Linked DNA regions of Mus musculus: all the other regions are reported to be linked to region 4. The links are microRNA targets in miRTarBase. Many come from high-throughput screens and were not tested one by one. Region 4 holds a microRNA gene; each other region holds the end of a gene's coding sequence.
Evidence for each region. Region 4 holds the annotated microRNA mmu-miR-24-3p (UGGCUCAGUUCAGCAGGAACAG, at 1,333-1,354, shown strand). A microRNA usually pairs through its seed, bases 2 to 8, with sites in the 3' UTR of a target mRNA and lowers its output. Matches are read on the target gene's strand: a 7mer-m8 pairs with bases 2 to 8, a 7mer-A1 pairs with bases 2 to 7 and ends in A, and an 8mer does both.

Region 1 (4,055 bases), not on the chromosome of region 4:
GACAGGGTTTCTCTGTATAGCCCTGGCTGTCCTGGAACTCACTTTGTAGACCAGGCTGGCCTCGAACTCAGAAATCCGACTGCCTCTGCCTCCCGAGTGCTGGGATTAAAGGTGTGCACCACCATGCCCGGCTTACACTACCACACAGCAGAAGGGCTCAGTAGGAACTGGATTAGGCGACTGGATGCAGTAAGAGCTAGCTCCTAAATGGGCTCAGGTCAATGGAGTTGTTTTTGGATTTTGAACTGCTAGATGGAGATCCATCAAGGAATCCATACTAGACAGTCCTATGACAACAGGAAAAAAAAATCTAATTCTGAGGGGCTGGAGAGACGGCTCAGCAGTTAAGAGCATACAGAAGGCAGGAAGTTATATAAGTTCTGTGCCAGTCTGGGCTGAGCAAGAACCTTTTCAAAACAAGGAGCTGATGAGTCCCACTTAAGGAAGTCAACGAGTCTCTGCCTCTTCCAACTACCAGTCCTAAACACATGCTTAGAAAAGATAAAAGGGAACAAAGACTTGTTCCATCTTTTAAGACTTATATATATGAGTACACTGTAGCTGAACAGGTAGCTGTGAGCTTTCATATGGTTGTTGGGAATTGAATTTTTAGGACCTCTGCTCGCTCCGGGCAACCCTGCTCACTCCGGCCCAAAGATTTGTTTATTATTATATTATGGGTGGTTGTAAACAAACATGTGGTTGCTGGGATTTGAACTCAGGACCTTTGGAAGAGCAGTCACTGCTCTTACCCGCTGAGCCACAGCACCACGTTCCATCTTAACTGTCTCCACCAGAGATCTAATGCCAAGGCAGGCCTTAGATTCTCTGTGTAGCTAAGCTGACCACTGCTTCTGCCTCCTGAATGCTGGGGTTCCAGGTATTTACTGGCACATTCAACTGTCTCTCCCTTTATAGGTGACAAAGAGCTGTGGGCTGATGTCTGTCCTGGGAAGACCAGAAGTACCTAAGGATCAAAGGGGGTGGAGGAGGAGGTCCCTCTTGCTACAGAAACAAAAGTAACCTTAAGGTTAGAATTCACTTACCAACCTTTTTTTTTTTTTTTTTTTTGGAGTCAGGGTTTCTCTGCATAGCCCTGGCTGTCCTGGAACTCACTTTTTAGACCAGGCTGGCCTCAAACTCAGAAATCCGCCTGCCTCTGCCTCCCAAGTGCTGGGATTAAAGGCGTGTGCCTCCACTGCCCCACTTACCAACCTTTAAGTACTTATCTTAGAGTCAAAGGTGCAAATTCACCTTTGTTAGGACAAACAGCAAGAGATCCCACCCCTCCCCCCCTATCTCCCAATGGGCCTAGTGGGAACTCTACTCAAGCAAAGTCAATCACTCTTGGCCTGATGGGAAAACTGAAAAGGGTCACATTCTCTTCACTTCCTAGGCTAGTCTCCATTTCTGGTCTTCCATTTCAGAACCCAGAACGGACATCAGCCAGAACCTCTTCCCCACCTATAAAGGGAGTGAAAGATGGGGTGGAGGTATATGCCTGTAATCCCACGGCTCAGTACGCAGAAGCAGAAGAACTGGGAGTTAAGGCCAGTTTAGCTGCACAGTGAATTTTAGGCCTGTATACAGTGCCCAGGCCTCAGAGCCCCGGATGACCTTAGGCACCACCCATCACTCCATCTAAAGTCTGGCTGGAGGCAATTCCCAAAGCATGCAGAACCAAATGAAAACAAGCTGAAGCAACGCAAAGTTCAATGTTTTGTATTTTATTCTTTTTGCTAACGTAAGATCAGAAACATTGCTCTGGCTCACTTCTATGAATTCATCCAACCCAAATTATTATAGTGATACAACCAAAGGTTGCTGTCTTTGCTCCTCAGTGACCTCTTCCACTGGGCATTTACAAGCCCTCTGTTGCCTGAAAGAGAATGTAAAGCCTTCCTGACCCTTCCACATACTCATAAGAGTACTACCTTCTGAGGCTACACCCTCAAGTCTGCCACGAGGTGGGTGGGGTGAAGTGTCTCTCCACATTCCAACTGCTGTGGTTTGAGATGGGACCCGAGGAACATGGTCTACAGACTCCAGTCACCTCCTCGTTGGTCAGTCCCTCAAAGGTGACAATCAGTGTGCTGCAGCTCCCCCTCCTCAGTTTTGCAGTTCTTCAAGGTATGTAAGCCATGCCTCAGAAGTCACCCATGGGATGCACACAGATAAACCACCAAAGCAGGATACAGGTTTTCTTTGGTTCCAGAACACAGGGGCAGCATCTTTCAGGAGCAGCCCTCCAGTGTTGCTCAAGTTGTTCTCCTAAGTCACAAAGGGTTGTTCAGGGTCCTCTGCCAACTTAATCCCTAAAGGTTTCACAGACACTCCCAGTCTTATCCTCTCTTTTGGTGGTTATATGCTCTGACCTATGAAGCTATCAAGGCCCCAGCGCTAGGCGCGCCTCATCCAGATTTCATACCTTCTCAAATTCTCTGAATGCCTTCTGAATTTCAGAATACAGCTCCACTCTGTGAACCACTGAGTGCAACTCCACAGCCAAGGCGAGGTGTGGAGACTGGAGACCTCTCTCGTCCTATCACACGTCTCTGACCTGACTTGCCTGAGGCTCCTCCACACTGTGTCCACTCAGACTATAGGTGAGAGGGCTTTGGTGTAGCTGTATATGGCCCCGTGACCAAAATCACACTTGCGTTGCTTTATTTCTCATCTTAACAGAAACTTTCTAAGTATGAAAGGGAAAGGAGCCGGCTCTGAACATCAGCTCCATCTGCAGTGTCACAGGGAATGAGAGGCTCTGCTCCATCGTCAGTGCCCACATCACCAGGACCACGGTCTACAAGACTCAGGCTGGCCCCAGAGCCTCACACAGTAGTCAACAACCTTTCCACTTCTAAGCAGAAAGGCAGAGTTCTAAGAAAGGAGACAAACTTTGAAGCACAGCCTTCCCTGTCCTAGTGCCCCAAGCTTCCTACAACAGCAGAGATAGCATGGTAGCTGGTCAATTGCTTCATTGCCAGGCAGCACACAAGACTCTCGGGGATTTGCGGTTTCCCTGACTTGGTAAATTCCATTTCTCTAGCTCTTCTTAGGCCCTCAAGTGTCATGCAGAGCTCCAAGCCCGAGCTGCCAGCAGCATAGGGCCCTTGGGTGTGCCTTGCCAACTACTTCCTTTGCCGTCCACCCCTCTTTTTGGACCTACAGGCTCTCTTCTACAGGCGATTGCACAAAATGTTGTGAGGAAGAGGAAGGGGCCAGCCATCACATGGTAACCACCATTCCCCACATCTTAGAGCAGCTAAGGGCTGGCAGCTGACAGCCCACTTCTTCCTGCCTTCATCATGAAACTGCAGTGAGCCGTTCTATACTGACACTGGGGTCAAACTACATCAGTGTTGGGGTAGAAATGCCAACTATCCAACTATGCCAGACCTGGGGATCCCAGGAACCAACTTGCTGGCCTTACATCACCTGGCCTAATGTTTTCTCAAGCCAGAGGCCCAGCCCCAAAGACAGCTAGTAGAGAGCTGAAAATGGCTGTCTTAAGGATGTCTTCAGATACTCAGCCGGCTCAGCAGGACCACACGGTTCACCTTGAGGCAGTTTTCACCAACCTGGTAAGGACATTTTGCTGGCATACTCAGGGTGCTGGAGGCAGGCGCTGTGGCAGAAGGGTGAAAAGGGGTCAAAGTTTAGCCAGACTAGACCCCTCCTCTGACCCAATCATCCCACTCCCAAGAATGCAAGCCAATGTAATGATCAATAGGAAATAAGACGCTCTGCTCTGCTCTGCTCTGGTGTTATTCATGTAAGAGAACTTGGATTCTACAGTCAGGCCCACTGGGGTACAACTTGGGGTAAGGACTCACTAGCGCAGAGGCTCTGTGAGCTTCCCTCTCACCTGGGACACAAATGACAGCACCTGCTTCCCAGGAATACTGCAGGAATTAAGTAAGATAACCTGCATAAAGCATCAACAGTATAATTCACGCTCAACCACAAACATCAGCTCTTGGTTGTATTTATCACACCCAAGGACAGGAAAGGAACACAGAGAATAGGAAACAAGTACAACACTAGACAAACTG
Region 2 (4,055 bases), not on the chromosome of region 4:
TTGAGCACTTCGCGTGAGTGGGGACACACACCGTCCTTCCTCACTTAGCACACTGTCTCCACATTCACCTCCGCTGCTCATGTATCAGAAGCCCTTCCTGTTTAAGGGGCGTGGATTCACATTTTCATTTTGTAGTCATGTGATCTGCCAAAATTCGTGTGCTTAGTCTGAAGAGGATTTACAAGCATGCTATGACCACCGACTGCTGCACTAATAATGCCTTTCATCATTTTGGATAATCCGTTTGGAGGTTTGACCCTTCTGGTTCAAGACCAAGACCATTCCTCTTCCCTCCCCTCCTGCCTCCCCAGAGAAAGTCAGGTCAGGATGTGCTCTCAGAGACCACATGATGGAGCTCTCTAGCAGTCGCTTGTACTTCCTTATGAAGTGTTCTTTCTTCCAGGTACTCTGCTGACTGCTCATTCTCCAACTCCTGTAGCCCCTCACCCGGTCACTGTCCCCACATACCGAGCCCCAGGAACACCCACCTACAGCTATGTGCCCCCACAGTGGTGATTGCCCTGCAAATTAATGTGAGTATTAGTGAAGGCTGTGGCTAGGTGGGCCCTGCTGAGGTGCACTTCTCTGAGGAGACTGCAAGACTGACTAGATACAAGCACTGGTCTAGTATGCTTGTCTGTCTTTTGATACGGCACAACACTGAGCGAGAGCACCTTGGGGAAAGGAAGAGTGGCTTGGCCTGGCTTACAGTGACTACAGTTACAACCCATCATAACGGGAGTCTGAGCAGGAACTGATGTACAGCCGTGAGGATGGGTGCTGATTGGCTTGCTTCTCCAGCTTGCCCTCCTTGCTCACCTCCCTCCCTTACAGCCTCGGCCCACCCGCCCACGAATGGCACCCTAGGCCTTACCTCATTATGTCATTATTCTTATTGGGACATCCAATAAGGGAAGAGGGAGGGGGGGCATTGAGTGCTAACTGTTTGTCTTGCTGCTTCTGTAGTGCAGTGTGTAGGGCTCCAGGTATAATGGGGCAGGGGGCACAGGGTGTTGCTGTAAGGTGGGTGGGAACCAGGTGGCGCAGCTTTGGGTACCGCTGCCTTCTGGAACTGGTAAAGCACAAGTGCCAAGAGCCTGTCTGACTGTTGTTATTCTTTCCCAGATTTGAGGATGGAGCTGTGCAGTCACTTCATTGAGTTCCACAGCTGGTGCTGCAGGCCTTGTGCCTCCAACCAGGACTTTCTTCTTACTGCTCCGACACTTAGCTAAACATGACTGCGCCCCAGCCCAGCAGGTCCCAGCTCGCTAGTCTCCAACTAACTCTGGGTTGGTTTTAAAGCAAATCCTGTTTTGTGGACTGCCTGGCAAATTTTTTAGCTAACTGTAATGATAAAAAGGGAGTATTACTCTATTCTGAATCATATCTAGTTGAATGCATGTTTATAAAAACAAACAAAAACAAAGCTTGCTCAATCTACCTGCAGTGACTGATGCAAAACCATCATATGCAAAACCCGAAGGACTGGACCACGTTCACAGCCTGTCCTGTCCCTCACGCACCTCTGCGATGTACGCTGAGCCTCAGTTACACTTGTACAAGGGATGTCCTCACTGAAGCGTGGGGAGGACTGCAGGGGACTCTTAGGGGCTGGGGTTGCCAGTTATGGACACAGACTATAGCTTTCAGCAGCCTGGTTTTTTGGCACTGGCTGACTGATCCTGAGGGAGCTGCAGGGACTGGGGGAGAGAGAGCACACCTGCAGCAGCTCCAGACAGCAGCAGCAGCAGCAGCAGGGATGACGGGGTCCCTCTCCTTCATTTCAGCTGGAGTGTGCTCTGCAGAACAGGGGTCTACCTGAAGCTTATCAGGAAATACAGGAGCTTGGTGACGAGTCCAGCTGGGGTGAGGAGTGGTCTGTGTGTCAGAGCAGGGTCTGCCATCCGAGTTTTCTCTGTATGTCTTACAGGATAACGTTCTCTGTATCTGTTGGGACTGTTGGGAAAGTCCATTGTAGAAGTAAACTGTCTTCCTAGGAGGGAAGATGTCAAAGAGAAGCAGCCACACTGAGGCAGTGTTGTCTTTTGCTTTATTTTGCTTAGGGAACCATTCCTTTTTTTCCCCCTGAGAATAACTGAGTCACCTAAAGACATGGGCACTGCTGTATTCTCCCACAAAGACTTCAGCTGTGTGCTGTGAAGAGTGTTGTACATTTAAGACTGGTTACAAGGGAATAAGTGTATTTTTAAGTTAGTTCCTCATGTTTCTTGTAGAGAAGCAGGGCTGTGATGATGTGTAAAAATGTAGAAATAATGTAGCTTGTCTTGGGGCCATTCACCTGAGGATGCTCTCTGTAACTAGCGGGGTGAGGCCCGGGAAGCCTGCGGAAACCTGCGGAAGCCACTCTGCTGTCACTGAAGGCACTCAGTACCAAGCAGATGTGGAAAGCAGAAAGGGCCAGGCAGTTCAGGAGTGCTCTTGCTTGGAAGGCTCTGTGGTGGGAAAGATTTTGAGTGTGTACATAAGAAACCACAAAAGTTCTTTCTGCCTGAGTGTGCCCGACTTGAATCTGTGAGAGTGTTTCTGTTCAGTGTGGGTCAAAGGGCAGGGCACGAGGACCTCTCTGGGCTCTGTCAACTGGGGGTGAGCTTTGTATCTTTTGTCAGCCCCATTGAATTCCTGGGGCTTTGGTTGGAAGGGGTGCTTGTCTCTGGCAGCTAAGTCAGGGCTTCCATGTTGGTGTAGAGGTTGCCTCAGTAGCAGTCAACTTGGCTAGAGGCTGGGTCACCTGAATATGGAACCTTCGGTGACCTTATTTTTATAGTAATGCTCTCCATAGTTTTTTTTTAAGCATTTTATTTTTTGAGAAGTTTAGGAAGGTTGCTGCATGGATCAGTGTGAACAGAAGATTCCTCATTCCTTATGTCTATGAACATAGAAAGTTTATGGATGATTATGGTTAATTGCCTCATGAGCACTTAGGTGTGTGTGTGTGTGTATGTGTGCGTGCGTGCGTGCGTGTGTGTGTGTGTGCTTGGATGTGCGCGTGCATGGGGAGAGGGGTAGCACCAGCAAGCACACCCTGCACAGAGATAGACACGCTTGCTGGAGCACACAGCCTGCACCCGTACTTCCATGTTGGGATCCCGTCCCTGTGCTGAGTGACTTGCAGGGTTGGGATTTCCAAGTTTTCTCTGGACTCATCAGACAGAAGGGGATTTCTTTAGAACAAATGTACCTGTGATTTTCACGTGTTTGAAAAAGTCCCCTTATCCATCCCCAACTAAACATGGCTATCTCCCTGCCTGGAAAGGGTAGAGTTGTTTGCCTACAGCAGGAAGTTACCAAGTCTTTGAGCCTACTTGCAGCAACACACAGTGTGTGTGTATGCACAGGCCCTGAGTTCTCAAGAGAGAGGGAGGGGCTGCTGCCCTCCTGCTGATCACATCAGCCTCACACACTTGCCCTGGAACTGTTGAAATGGAGTGACTACCAAACACCTCTGTAGTGTACAACTCGGCTGGGTGGAAATCTTGTCTGTTTTGAAGCTATCAGGTCATCACTGTGGGATCTGCTGGTGAGAGAGCTTACCAGGTGAAAATCTGGGTATATGGATGGTAGTGAACTGTCACAGGGGGTGACTTTAACAACATTCAGTTTCAGTAAAAATAAGGAACAGAATTGGGTCAGTATTCTACTACATGGCTGTACAGGTATCCCAAAACATTGAGGAACATTCCAAGACAGTGTGCTTTCTATGAGTGTGACATTCCTGACTAGAGTCCTTCAGCTGAATTGACAGGCAGGCAGAGAGTCTGATCCCTATGGACACTGACATCGTTGTTAAGGAGATATATAGATATATCTATATATATCAAGTTTATTTTCTGCTGCCGTCCCTGAGGCTAGGGGCCTTCCTTCCTCGGCTGCTGCTGCTTGCAGTTTAGAGTTGTGGAGTATTGGAAACTGTAAGCTCCTTGACTCTGGAGAAGCAAACCCACCACCATCAGGATTGGGTCAGTTAGGCTACAGGCATGGAAGCGGCCTCTGCAACTGTTGTCTCTGTGTTGTGGTCTTCCTTGGAGGAACTGTTG
Region 3 (4,055 bases), not on the chromosome of region 4:
GATTAAGCAAACATAAAGACTGTAAAAGTATCTTTAAAATGTGCTTAACAATTCATAAAAGAAATGAAGGAGATAATTTAAAAGATTTCTTATGGTTTGAAAATGCATTCCAAATATTCATTAAACATTTGAGTGAGTAAATGTGTAGAATATGTTTCTGACATTGGCGCTGGTTTGGTGGTATTTCTCTGATCAGATGGAAGTGCTATGCGTTATGCAGGGTGCATGCAGTTCATTCATGCATAAACAATATCATTTTCATAAATTAAAACCTTCCCTGCAGAAGGAACATCTGTGCCTGCCTTTGAATAAAAGATGGTGGCATGTGAGTTACTCCCTGACTGACTGAAAGAATCCCTACGCCTTTAGAGTGAAATTTTAAACACACACAAAATGAAAAAGAAAAAGAGTGAAGCAGAGCCTTCATCCTTCACGCCTACCTCTAATGAAACCCATAGTCTAGATTCTTTTGCTTCCCATTTTAAATGTTGTGATTCTAGAAACACCACCCTTGGTTCTTCTGTTGACTCTAGCAACAGTTTTTAGTTTGCATGGAGATGTCTAATTTTAATTACAGGTGAAACTGAGCTGCTTAATAGATCAGATCAGATCTGAATGTTCACTTTATGGTTTCCTGTGCTGGGAGGCTGAAGGATTCTGCTATCAGTATTGTGTCTCCTAAAGTCAATGGTGAGAAAAATCCAGGCTAGGAAGCAACAGCTTGATTCCAAAATAACTGCTCTGATTCACTTGGAAAGAGACAACTACATTTGGGGTAAAGTTGGGACCAGCTTTAATGTATTTCTGTGTGTGATAAAGGCTGGTAGAAAACATTATTTTAAATTACATTAATTTTTTTGAATGTTGAAATATCCCTTACTGCTACTGTCACAGCTTGATGGGGCCTCGTTGGCAACGTTATTACTATGGCTAATTGTTCCTGTCTATTAGATTACTCACGTTTTTCTGGAGCAGCTTACTAAATAAGGTCAGTTTTCTGGAACCCTTAAGCCACCAACGAGAAGGAGATTAAAGGAACATGCTTGCAAGGGAGGTAGGCATCCAATGTGGTATCCGAATCAGAGAAGGAACAATGACAGCAATCAGAATCACAGTAGAGACAATACAACTGCCAAAATGCTATTCCATAAAAATCAAGACTGTCAGTCATTTCTCATGGGAAGGGAAATGCCAAACTATTTATTAAGTAGACTTACCAGAAGTTAAGTTGGTGTGGTGTGGTGTGGTGTGGTGTGGTGTGGTGTGGTGTGGTGTGGTGTGGTGTGTGTGTGTGTGTGTGTGTGTGTGTGTGTGTTTATAAAATCAAAATATAAAATAGCAGGACTGTACAGAAAACTGTGGAGTAATATACACTCCTAAAATAGAACACAAATAGTATATACTTATGTACCAAAAGCTCACTAGCACTTTAGTGGAACAATTAGTGAAGACATCCCAAACACTTAATAGAACCATTATAAAATGCCTCATCTTTTGGGAGCCTTTCAATTAATTAAATAATTTTCCTACAATATCAGATATATAGTTTGGAGTGCAGGACTGTTTGAAAGAAAGCTATCTAGTTCAGGAAAGATACAGATAACAGAACAGTGAGAAAATATTCAATTTTGTTTATGCTTTAAATATGTATAAACAAATTAAACTAAGGTATTTGCTTATGTCTTGCTAGTTAATACTTAAGTAAATCCGCCTGAAAAATAAAAGAAACTTCTAACAATCATTTCAACAAACAGAGACAAACAAACAAACAAAGAGAGTAAAGGTGAAGACGTTTCACCTTTAGAAAACCAGAGTTTTTTGTCCAGCTTACTCTGTGCTCAATACTCCAAATAATAAAACAGAGGCGAGGTCTGTTTGTTATCTGAGAAGCCAGTGACCCTCTAAGCAAGATAACAGACTAAGCACAGGACAAGCTCAACTCTATATTTTATTCCTAATGTTTAACATTTAACTCAGCAAATACAGACGTTGATCCTCCTCGCTACAATTTTACTCTTTAAAATCCACTTTCGAAAGAAATGAAACAATTGTTTTGATTTTCCATACTATTTTTATTGCAACTGCATGGGAGTTTTCTAAATTGTGCATTACACCATAATACACAGGATTACAAACAAGATTACAGTACATGTCAATTCCAGTAGTACCAGCATCACATCTCAAACAGCACTTATTCTGGACTGCATTTTACATGCAACAGCTATTGTTCTAATTATGAATTCGATGGTTTGAATTTTATTTAAACTACTGTACTAACTGACTACACAGGTATAAAAACCCAACATTAACAACCTGAATAAATTTAGGCTCAGATTTATTACATGAATAGATGACAAACCACCATTTGTTTGACTATGTATAAAATCATGCATTTATATTTTCTGGAAACATCAATATCTTCAAACACTCCGTAAAATCATGGAATTCAAAGAAGTAAAAGACTAAAAAGAAAGAGTGCAAATTGTATGTGATAGTCAAGCAGCTTTTGATTTAAAGGAGTGTGTGTTGGCATTTATTTATAATATGTATTTACAAGCTTGTGCAAGTAATGAATTGATGTGTTTTGATAAGGAATGCATTTCGGTTTTCATCCTCTTGAGTGTTATGGGTCTGGTTTCTATTTTAGGGAGCGAGCAGGAAAAACTTTAAAGTGAGATGAATTGCTCAAATTGTGCAATTTGTTGGTTTTTTTTCTTTTCTTTTCTTTTTTACAATTAGAGAAGAAAGAAGTGCTAAGGCAACGCAATAACTTTCTAAGCACTTTTCTGCTGGTTTAAATTAGTTAAATTATTTTGTATAAATTAGATATAATTCTACTTTTCTGATATGTATAAAAATTGATGAAGCTGCATGGTTTTAAAATAGGAAATCCACGTTATAAAAAGTCATTAAAAATTCTGTACAAAATCACAACAAAATAATTCAGCATGGGAAAGGTCACAGGTAGTAAAATGCTGGTTGAAAAATATATATTTATATATATTTTAATTGGCCCATTACTAGTTTAAAAATTGCATAGATCCTAATTATTGCTTGTGATTTTTTTTATCCCGATCAGATAATTAATACGATCTGAATACAGCTACACGAAATTCGTGGTACACATTTTCTTTTTTACTTTACTGTATTATTATTTTTAAAATAGAAGAGCTATAGAAAACAATACATAAGGTGAACAGGAACTTTGATCCCCTGTTTCTTCCAAAGGCAGTAACGACAATAAATACATATATCACTTGAAGCTTTGAGTATTTGCACTTTGCAGCAATCTTAGCAAAAGGGCTGCCTTCTGTAAACAGGACAGTCACTGTACGCACAGTGGATTCGTTTCCCGGGAATAGTGAAACTGACGTGCCTCTAATCGTGAAAGATGGCATTAAGCTGGGCACTCATGACTCGCTCATGATGCGAATGGCTATCGAAAGACATAATGTTGTCTATGGGGATCTCGCAGCGAGGGGCAGCGGCACCGGAAGAGAAGATTGATCCGTGGCTTTGGGGCCCTGCCAGCGTCGCTGCAGGGTAGTGCATGGTAAAGGCATAATTTTTTTCAAACTCGGCGGATGGTTCGTGTTTGAAAGAGAAGTTGCCATTGATGCTGAGCGGCGGGCTGAGGGGTCCGTCAAAGGAAGGGCTGGTGCAGTCAGTTAGGGGGCTTTCAAAGAAGGGCTCCAGAGCTGCGCTGTAGGCGTGTGGCGGCGGCTTGACGTGGAAGACGTGGGAGCTGTCCATGGTGCCGTAGGGCGGGCTGGGCAGTCCAGGGGACTGGTAGGAGTAGGGATGCACCGGGAAGGAAGCGCTGGCGGTTGGCAGATGCGGGGGCATGTCCGGGTTCTGCTCAGGCAAGAAAGTCCGAGGGTTGAGCTGCAGGCAGCCGGCGACCAAATTGGTAGTGGGCTGGGACAAACCTTTGCAGAGCGTCTGTACGAAGGAGACCAGATCAGGGCTTTTGCCTGAGCGCAGGATCTCTGACAGAGCCCAGATGTAGTTCTTGGCCAAGCGCAGTGTCTCTATTTTAGACAGTTTCTGGGTCT
Region 4 (4,066 bases):
CCTAGTAGAAGGTTTGGGGTTTTGTTGTTTTATTTTTGTTTTTCTTCTATTTAAGACTAGGGTCTCAAACTGTAGCCCAGTTAGGCCTAAAACTCATCATGTAGCTTAAGCAGGCTTTTGACTCCATTCTTGGCAACCTTCCTGCCTCAGTTTCCTCAATGCTGAGATAAACGTGAGCCACCAACTGCAACTGTTGTAGTCTGCTTTACAGATGGGGAAACTGAGGCTTGGAAGGCCTAGGGGAAACTTTACTGAGGTGTTATTGTTGGGGTGCATCGGCCTGCTTCTCCTTGCTTGGGCCCTAGGTGGTGTGGGGTGGGGGTGGGGTTATGTCTGAGCTGGCTGGGGAGGAGAGGGCTGAGGTGGGAGGCCCTGGAGTTTCCTCCTGCCCTTCAGGCTTCTAGGAAGTGGCGCCAGCTGGGGTGAGGTCACTTCCTCCCTCCAACCGTCCACCTCCCTCAGCTTCCTCTCCATGGCCCCATTTGGCCTGCTTTGGGCTCAGGGCTGTGGGTGGGGATAGAAGCAGAGTGGGAAGCAGCTGGGAAGGCTCTGCAGCCCCTTTGGCCTTAGGGCTTCAGGCACCTCCCGCTTTGTAGGGCTGGGGTAGAGGCACTGCTGGGTGCCCAGCATCCAGCAGCCTCGCTCCAACCTTCCTACGGATCGATGCTCCTCTTTTTTGGGAATGCTTCTTCCCTCTTGGAAGTAGAGGAGGGCTAGGGTGTGGATCAGCAAGCTGAGTTTAGATTCTGTCCCCAGCACCACTTAAACTGTGTGTGGTGAGGTGTACCTATAATCCTAGACTCCAGAGGTAGAGGCAGGAAGAACTGGTGCATTCGGAAACCTTGTGTTCAGCTATGTGAGACCCAGCCTGGTCAAGATAGGCAGGCAAGCAAGAATGCTCCAATCTCACTGTCTCTTCTTTCTCTCTTTAGGTGCTACACTCCGCTCCCACCTGCTGCCCCCCTCACTGTGCCTCGGACGGCTGGGGTTCCTGGGGATGGGATTTGATGCCAGTCACAAATCACATTGCCAGGGATTTCCAACTGACCCTGTGCTCTGCCTTGGGGGCTCCTGTCGCCAAGGATGTCTGTCTTGGGTACTGGGTAACAGAGAAGCCTATCATGACAACTGGCCTGAGGAGCAGGGCTTAGCTGCTTGTGAGCAAGGTCCACAGCAAAGTCGTGTTCACAGTGGCTAAGTTCCGCCCCCTGGACCCCATCTCCTCAGGCCGCTGCTGCCCACCCTGCTCTGCCTCCTGGCTGGCAGGGCTCTGCCTCTCTCCGGGCTCCGCCTCCCGTGCCTACTGAGCTGAAACAGTTGATTCCAGTGCACTGGCTCAGTTCAGCAGGAACAGGAGTCCAGCCCCCTAGGAGCTGGCAACCCTGCAGAATGTCTGCCGTGAGCAAGACCTGGAAACAATGGGGTAATTAGTCCAACCTAAGCCCCGTTGTCTGCTGGAGGCTCAGCCTCTAAGCCTGCATCTGGGTGTCCACCTTGAGATTTCTGTGGTTCCCCAAAGCAGATAGATGGGCGGGTAACCCTTGCATTAAAAGCCAGTTATGTCCCCTCAGGGCCTGGAAGCCCTTCTTTTCCTAAGTCTGGTGGGGCTCAGGCACCACCCCTTATACATACCATCTTTGAAGTCAGTTACCCAAGAGGAAGCTGCTTTAGGCCCTCTAACGGTTAAATGCCAACTCTCTGCTTCCGGAAGAAGGCACTGACCTGATCCAGTGTGCCTAGCAATCCCATGGGGTCTGCAGCTTTCTGCTGGTGACAGCGAGGCAGGGAGCGAGGTCCACACAGGCCTCAGGATATGAACAGATCCATGCCCCCCCCCCCCATTGGCCTGTTGAAGTAATCTCCAGGCTTGGAAGTTAAAAAGTTGCCTACTACCCACAAATGAGACTGCATGCAGACTAATTGGAACTGGCTGAGTTACACTTCCCAGACCATACAGTGTCCTCTCCCTACTCTGGGCAGGGGCAAATCGAAGCCTGGGTGGAAGAACAGAGTTGAAAGCTTGTATTGAATGTTGTTCTCCAACTAAATAAAAGCTCCACAGCCTCATTCCGTAAGGGCTGACGTCTCTTCATTCCCGCCTCCCACATGTGTGTTGCTGGCTTTTTTCATTTCTCTTGAAACAGCATTTCTGTGTAGACCAGGCTGACCTTGAATCAAACTCCTCCAGTGTCTGGAGTTTGGGAATACCAGCTGCACCACTATATCTACCACACCCTGGGCTCCTAACCTGCATTGCACCTATCCCCAACCTTGCTCCACCTGCTTCTAGGAAGGTGTAAATATAGTTCTGTGGTCAGTAGGTGCTGCGACCTGAAGATCCTGGGATCCTTTGGGGATGGCTTGAACGGGAGGGATAACCCAGACCTGGGGTGTATGAGACCAATCTGTGGTCACCCCAGTTCCATGAGGGAGTATGTTACAAGAATGTACTCTGCCTATGCTGGGATGCACTGACTGGCAAGATGCCAGGGCTTAAGGACGGGCACATATGCGCGCACAGACAGACACGCGCGCATGCACACACACACACACACACACACACACAGGGCTTAAGGACGGGCACATATGCGAGCACAGACAGACACGCGCGCATGCACACACACACGCACGCGCGCGCGCCCGTCTACACACACACACACACACACACACACACACACACACACGCACGCACGCACGCACGCGCGCGCGCCCGTCTGCGCCAGAAGGGCTAAGGGGCGGATCGCCTCTGATCGGCTCCCTGGAGCAAAGGAACGCACCATGAACTATGGCCACACTCATAGTCACAGCCAGCTCCCATAGTGCCCCACAGAGGCAACACACACACACACACAGCTTCCAAGAGAACGGTCCTAAACAATGACCCTGTCAGACACAGCTAAGGACATAAAGAACCGGAGAATGAGAAGAATGCCCAGGCCGTCCGCTGGATGAATCCATCTAAGAACGGGAGTCTCATCCACAGCCCAAAAATGCAATGGGCAGGTCACTGGGGACACAGGCGTCCCCAGCTGCCCTCCGCACCTGGTGAGACCTCCGGAGCTCCGAATGACGTTGTCTGGAGCCAGACGCCCCCTGGTGGTCATTTCCTGCAATGAAGGACAGTGCAATCTGGGTGCATTTTCCAAAAACCTACAGACTCTAGGTTTGGGCGTTTTAAGCCTCCTGACTTGCAGAGATTATGACATGCAGATGGAAAAGCAGTAAAGCCACCAGCAAGAGGTGGCTCTTCGTGTCACCACGATGCCATGAAGAAACCAGCAGCCTCTCCTGTCCCATTCAAGTTGTGCCCAAAAACCGAGATGGAAAATTTTTTGGTTAATTGAGCAGGTGGTAGGTACCCCTGGCCCCGGGTGTTTGTGTTAGCAATGCAACCCAGTCTTGAAGTTAAAAAGAAGTTGTGTTCAATCTTTTTTTTAAAAAAAAAGGAAAAAAAAAGGAAAAGAATACAGTATGGGGTTCAATAAATAAGAAAAAAAGTTACAAAATGATGCCAACTTTTTCCTTAATATACAAGAGAGAAGACAGGTGCGTCTGGGGTGGAGGCTCTCCCTTCTCTTCCTCCCTGGGCCAAGGCCTGGGATACAGGAAGGCCTGTCAGCAGCTGGGACTTGAGAGAGATGCAGACATGGGGAAACTAAGGGAGTGGGGAAACAAATGGAGGTGCAGAGCAAGAGGAAGACAGAACGGGGTCCCTGGCTGTCTGCCTGTGCCTCCCACAACAGGCTGGAGGGCAGCCTGACTCCTGAGTTGTGTATCCAGTTACTAGTGGTGGGGTCTGGCCAGCAGAGAGCTGTCCCCAGCCTACCCTGTGACCTTGGTGCCCAAGAGAAGACAGGCCCTGGCTTGACAAGGGTATTTGGGGGTGAGGTATGTGGCAGAGGCCCAAGACCTCTTAATATCCTTCAGTGGGGTGAGGCATTTGTGCTGGAAAGCTGGGGCTGGGGGCGCAGGGCAGTGGGACAGGAGCCCTGAGCTGTGGAGAGGGGAGAAACACAGTGGGAAGTAACTACCCTGATGTGAAGTGCCTAGGCTCCGGCCAGCTCCG
Region 5 (4,055 bases), not on the chromosome of region 4:
ACATTCGTTGTGGCTTGACAGCTTAGGAGTAGGTATAAATTTTCTTTTTATGGTTCAGGCATGGGCCAGGTGGAGATGTGCGGACTGATCGTTTTGTATACTCAGAATCTAGAATCACTTTGAAGGCTACATAGACGGACTAGTGTCAGTGGCTACTTTTAAATGCATTTAAAGTCTGTTATTACTTTTAAGGAAATAGGCTACTTTCTAGGTTTTGTACTGCCTTTTCAAAACTCACTCAGAAATGAAGAAATTGTTGGGCATGGTGGCACATGCCTTTAATCCCAGCACTTGGGAGGCAAAGGCAGGCAAATTTCTGAGTTTGAGGCCAGCCTGGTCTACAGAGTGAGTTCCAGGACAGCCAGGGATACACAGAGAAACTATGTCTTGGAAAGAGGAGGAGAAGAAGAAGGAGAAGGAAAAGGAGAAAGAAGGAGGGGGAAGGAGGGGGAAAGAGGGGGAAGGAAGAAGGAGGAGGAGAAGAAGAAGAAGAGAAGAAGAAGAAGAAGAGGAGGAGGAGGAGGAGGAGGAGGAGGAGGAAAAGAAGAAGAGGAAAAGAAGAAGGAGGAGGAGGAGGAAGAAGAAGAAGAGGAGGAGGAAGAAAAATTACTATGTCCAAGTAGTTTTAGACAGCACTGTTAACTCTACCCCCAACCCATTTTAAGACAGGGTTTCCTTGGCTGTCTGGAACTCACTGCAGTCCGGGCTGGCCTCAAACTCAGAGATATATTGGCCTCAGCCTCCTGTGTGCTAGGATTAAAGGCACGAACCACCATGGCACCATAGGCAGCAAAAAGTCCTTTCTAAGAAGAGTGGGCAGATAAAGAGGCCAAGGCCATAACTCCTGTGAGTGCCTTTATGTGGATTTCCTTAATAATTCTGTACTGCCCACTATAGCTTAGGTGTTTGCAGACAGAGATGGTGTTCTGAAAGACCCCTTTGTCGAGACAACTGAAATTAGACTGTCATGAGAGTGGCACTACCAATAGTGTGAATGACCAGGAAAACGTCTTCTGTTAGCAGTTAAGGACAGTCACATCATTGGATTATGTGTCTATTCACTGAATTTCACTGAATTTTGTTTTGTTTTTCCAGACAGGGTTTCTCTGTGTAGCCCTGGCTGTCACTCTATGGATCAGGCTGGCCTCAAACTCAGAAATCCACCTGCCTCTGCCTCCCAAGTGCTGGGATTAAAGGTGTGCGCCACCACGCCCAGCACCGAAGTTGAGTTTTAAATTAGGGCTGGGGTTATAGCTCAATAGAAGAGGGCTTTTGGAGCCATCACTACAGAAAACAAATTCACTTCTGATTGTTTGGAATTCTGTGATTTAATTACAAGCACTTAGACACACCACACACTGAGCCTCTCTGCAGGGGGTGCATTGCTAAATCTAGGGTTCTAGTTGATGATTGTCTTGGGTACCAGCCATCTAAAGTTCAGTTTTTTAAACCAAGCTAGGTGTAAGGGGCAGAGCTGAACATGGTGGCCAGTGGCACACACCCATAAGCCAAACGTTCAAGAGGCAGAAGCAGGAGAGTCGTACATTTGAGGCCAGCCTAGGCTACTCAGTGAACTTCTTTCTCAAAGGACAGAAAGTGGGGCAAATGGTGTCCCCGGATTCACCTGGGCAGGTGTGTCCTAGTTGTTTGCTTTCAGTGAGCTGAGTCAAGTTTCTAACAACGCATGAGATTGATTTAGCAGCAGTTTGAAAACAACTGATAGGACATGGATCTAAATGCTGGTCTATAGCTTACCAACCTTTAATGGCTCTCTCGGGATACCATCTTTGGCATGTGTCATGATTTTCTATATCATTTAATTCCAAAGACTTGAGAAAGCAGTCATTTCTCAGCTTACCTGTAAAGCCTCATGCATCCTTCAGGTGCTAGCTAGTAAATGTGCAGTTTTAGGGTTTCTTAGTAGGTGGCATTATAGCCTCTTGCCACCCAGGCTCTACTACCATGGACAGATCTTTTGTGTGCCCTGCACCATGAAATAGTCTTTGGTGTCATTTTTGCTCATCTTGTTGGTGTCACAGCAGACAGCATGCTGTGTCTTCTGTACAGACTGAGTTCTGAGGAATTCTAGGTATTGGAGTCGTCAAGGAGAGTAAGGAAGCAGATCATTCCAGAGGAGATACCCCAAGAAGGAATGGGTACAGCATCCTTTGGCTATGGATGAGTAAAAGCAAGGTAAGTCTTTTCCATTCATCATTTCATCCAAAGCACTACCTTTTCGTGAAGCCCTCGGCCTCAGCAGAGGGATTCATGCATGGCTTCCCGGGGATGAATGGTAGATAAAATAGCCCCAACTGTGGTCCATATCCTTCACAGAATGTTACACAATGCAAACCAGTGCACCTTTAATCCCAACACTTGGGAGCCAGAGGCAGATAAATCTCTGTTCGTTTGAGTTCAAGGCCAGCCTGGGCTACACAGTGAGATCCTGTCTCAAATAAATATATAAGTAAATAAATGAAAGATTGATGGCTCCTGAGGATCGCACCTGCGTTTGGGCACACTCGGGCACACTGTGGCACACACACATACACACATTCTACATTGTTATCAGAATTCTTCAAGGTAAACTAGAGCAAATCCAGATGTAACAAAGTGTTGCCTATGAAAACAAGCCTAGAACCACACTTTTTTTTTTTTTTTTCAAAAATTGGTCCCCAGAGTGAGTGAGTCCAAGGTTTCAAGCCTTTAACATATTCATGTGCTCAGGTGCACACAGCTCCTGTCTAGTGAGGGAGGCTCTTCCCTCAATCTCTTCAAACATGAAATTGCAGGGCCACCCTGGGAGATCAAATCCCACATGGAATTCCTAGGATGCTGGGTTATTTATGCAGAGGACTCCGAGCTGGTGAGCTTAGTAGGGTAGAAGCTAACTTCCAAAGTTGCTTAGAGGATTTGTGATAATTTTATTTAAAAAGTAAAACTAGACCTGGTAGTAATCTATATGCACCTGTAATACCAGCAGCCAGGAGGCTGGCTAGGGAGCTCTAGGTCAGCCTGGGCTCTGTCACTCTGTCTAAAGGTTCACCACAGGTCTGGCACGCGCAGTTTGTTCAGGAAGCTGTTATATACATTCTCAGCCACTTGGAAGTCCCCTTTCACTCTTTTTCACCAAGGGCAGTTGGCTTGTGTGTCATTAAAGAACCTCCCACAACACGATGAACAGGAAGACGCCAAGTACAGAGCCTTTATTTTACATATTATTTCCAGAGGGCAGTGCTTAAAGTGAGCAGCCAACAGAAGATAAGAAATGACAGCAAAGGTAACTGGCTCAAGTCCCTCCATGTAACCATGTACAGCACATGTCTGAGCACCTTGTATGTCTGGCTTAAGTGCAGGTAAGGCAATATAGATTGTGCAAACAAGATCTGTGTCCTATGATCAGGAATGGCTACTACATGCATCACACAAAATGTGCAGTCTGAAATGTCTGGATCTGAACTAAGGTTTTCTCAAGCAGAGGTGTGTGGGGATGATTAAATGGCTGACACAGAGAGAGCACGATGGGTAGAGAGGACAGATAATGTGGAGGGGCGGTGGGGTCAGCACACTGATCAAGAGCCCTACATAGGAGGAGCCGTCCCAGTGGCAGAGAGAGCAGGCTAGGACAGAGCAGGGGCCATCTCCAGCCACCTCGATTTCCTTCCTGCCTTCACTCTAAGCTGAGCAGCTCCACGTCAAAGATGAGGGTGGCATTGGGAGGGATGACACCGGGGTGGCCGGTAGCTCCATAGGCCACATCAGGGGTGCAGGTCAGCTTCGCCCTCTGCCCCAAGCTCATCTAGCAGGGATGGGGGCAGATGGGGAGAGGAGAAAGAGGACCCAGCTTGATTTAAAAGAAAAAAGTAAGATAACTATGGCATTTCCCCCAAAACCATCTTTAGGGTAATTCCAAAGATCTGAGATTAATTGTATTGGGGGCACACTAAACTTTAGCTAAGATCTTAAACATGCAGATTCTGTCTCAAAATAGCCCTGACTATAGGGCAGTTAACAGCCACAAAGTAGCCTCAGCCTCATCCAAGCAACCAGTGTTA

Region 1: miRTarBase lists Kansl3 as a target of mmu-miR-24-3p. Seed matches in the 3' UTR shown: 7mer-m8 at 3,536-3,542 and 7mer-A1 at 1,766-1,772.
Region 2: the mRNA of Fam168b is a reported target of mmu-miR-24-3p. Seed matches in the 3' UTR shown: 7mer-m8 at 1,538-1,544.
Region 3: miRTarBase lists Neurod1 as a target of mmu-miR-24-3p. Seed matches in the 3' UTR shown: 7mer-m8 at 2,327-2,333.
Region 5: the mRNA of Fkbp1b is a reported target of mmu-miR-24-3p. Seed matches in the 3' UTR shown: 7mer-A1 at 3,286-3,292.

The regions. Positions count from the first base shown.
Region 1 is chr1:36,334,024-36,338,078 of GRCm38, forward strand. Kansl3 (KAT8 regulatory NSL complex subunit 3) reads right to left here. Exons shown (of 22, transcript NM_001310513.1): 22 at 1,707-3,628. The coding sequence ends at 3,608. Among named protein-coding and RNA genes, the nearest start is that of Mir6898, 13 kb to the right of the region's middle.
Region 2 is chr1:34,814,475-34,818,529 of GRCm38, reverse strand. It overlaps Fam168b (family with sequence similarity 168, member B), which reads left to right. Exons shown (of 7, transcript NM_174997.2): 6 at 404-533; 7 at 1,126-4,055. The coding sequence ends at 516. Among named protein-coding and RNA genes, the nearest start is that of Gm32790, 24 kb to the right of the region's middle.
Region 3 is chr2:79,450,586-79,454,640 of GRCm38, forward strand. Neurod1 (neurogenic differentiation 1) reads right to left here. Exons shown (of 2, transcript NM_010894.3): 2 at 2,052-4,055. The coding sequence ends at 3,379. Among named protein-coding and RNA genes, the nearest start is that of Neurod1, 4.0 kb to the right of the region's middle.
Region 4 is chr8:84,207,543-84,211,608 of GRCm38, forward strand. It overlaps Mir24-2 (microRNA 24-2), which reads left to right and starts at 1,273; the gene lies at 1,273-1,379. Zswim4 (zinc finger SWIM-type containing 4) reads right to left here. Exons shown (of 14, transcript NM_172503.3): 14 at 3,400-4,066. It overlaps Mir23a (microRNA 23a), which reads left to right and starts at 976; the gene lies at 976-1,050. Mir27a (microRNA 27a) reads left to right here and starts at 1,130; the gene lies at 1,130-1,216. It also overlaps Mir3074-2.
Region 5 is chr12:4,829,997-4,834,051 of GRCm38, forward strand. It overlaps Fkbp1b (FK506 binding protein 1b), which reads right to left. Exons shown (of 4, transcript NM_016863.4): 4 at 3,180-3,799. The coding sequence ends at 3,671. Among named protein-coding and RNA genes, the nearest start is that of Fkbp1b, 9.5 kb to the right of the region's middle.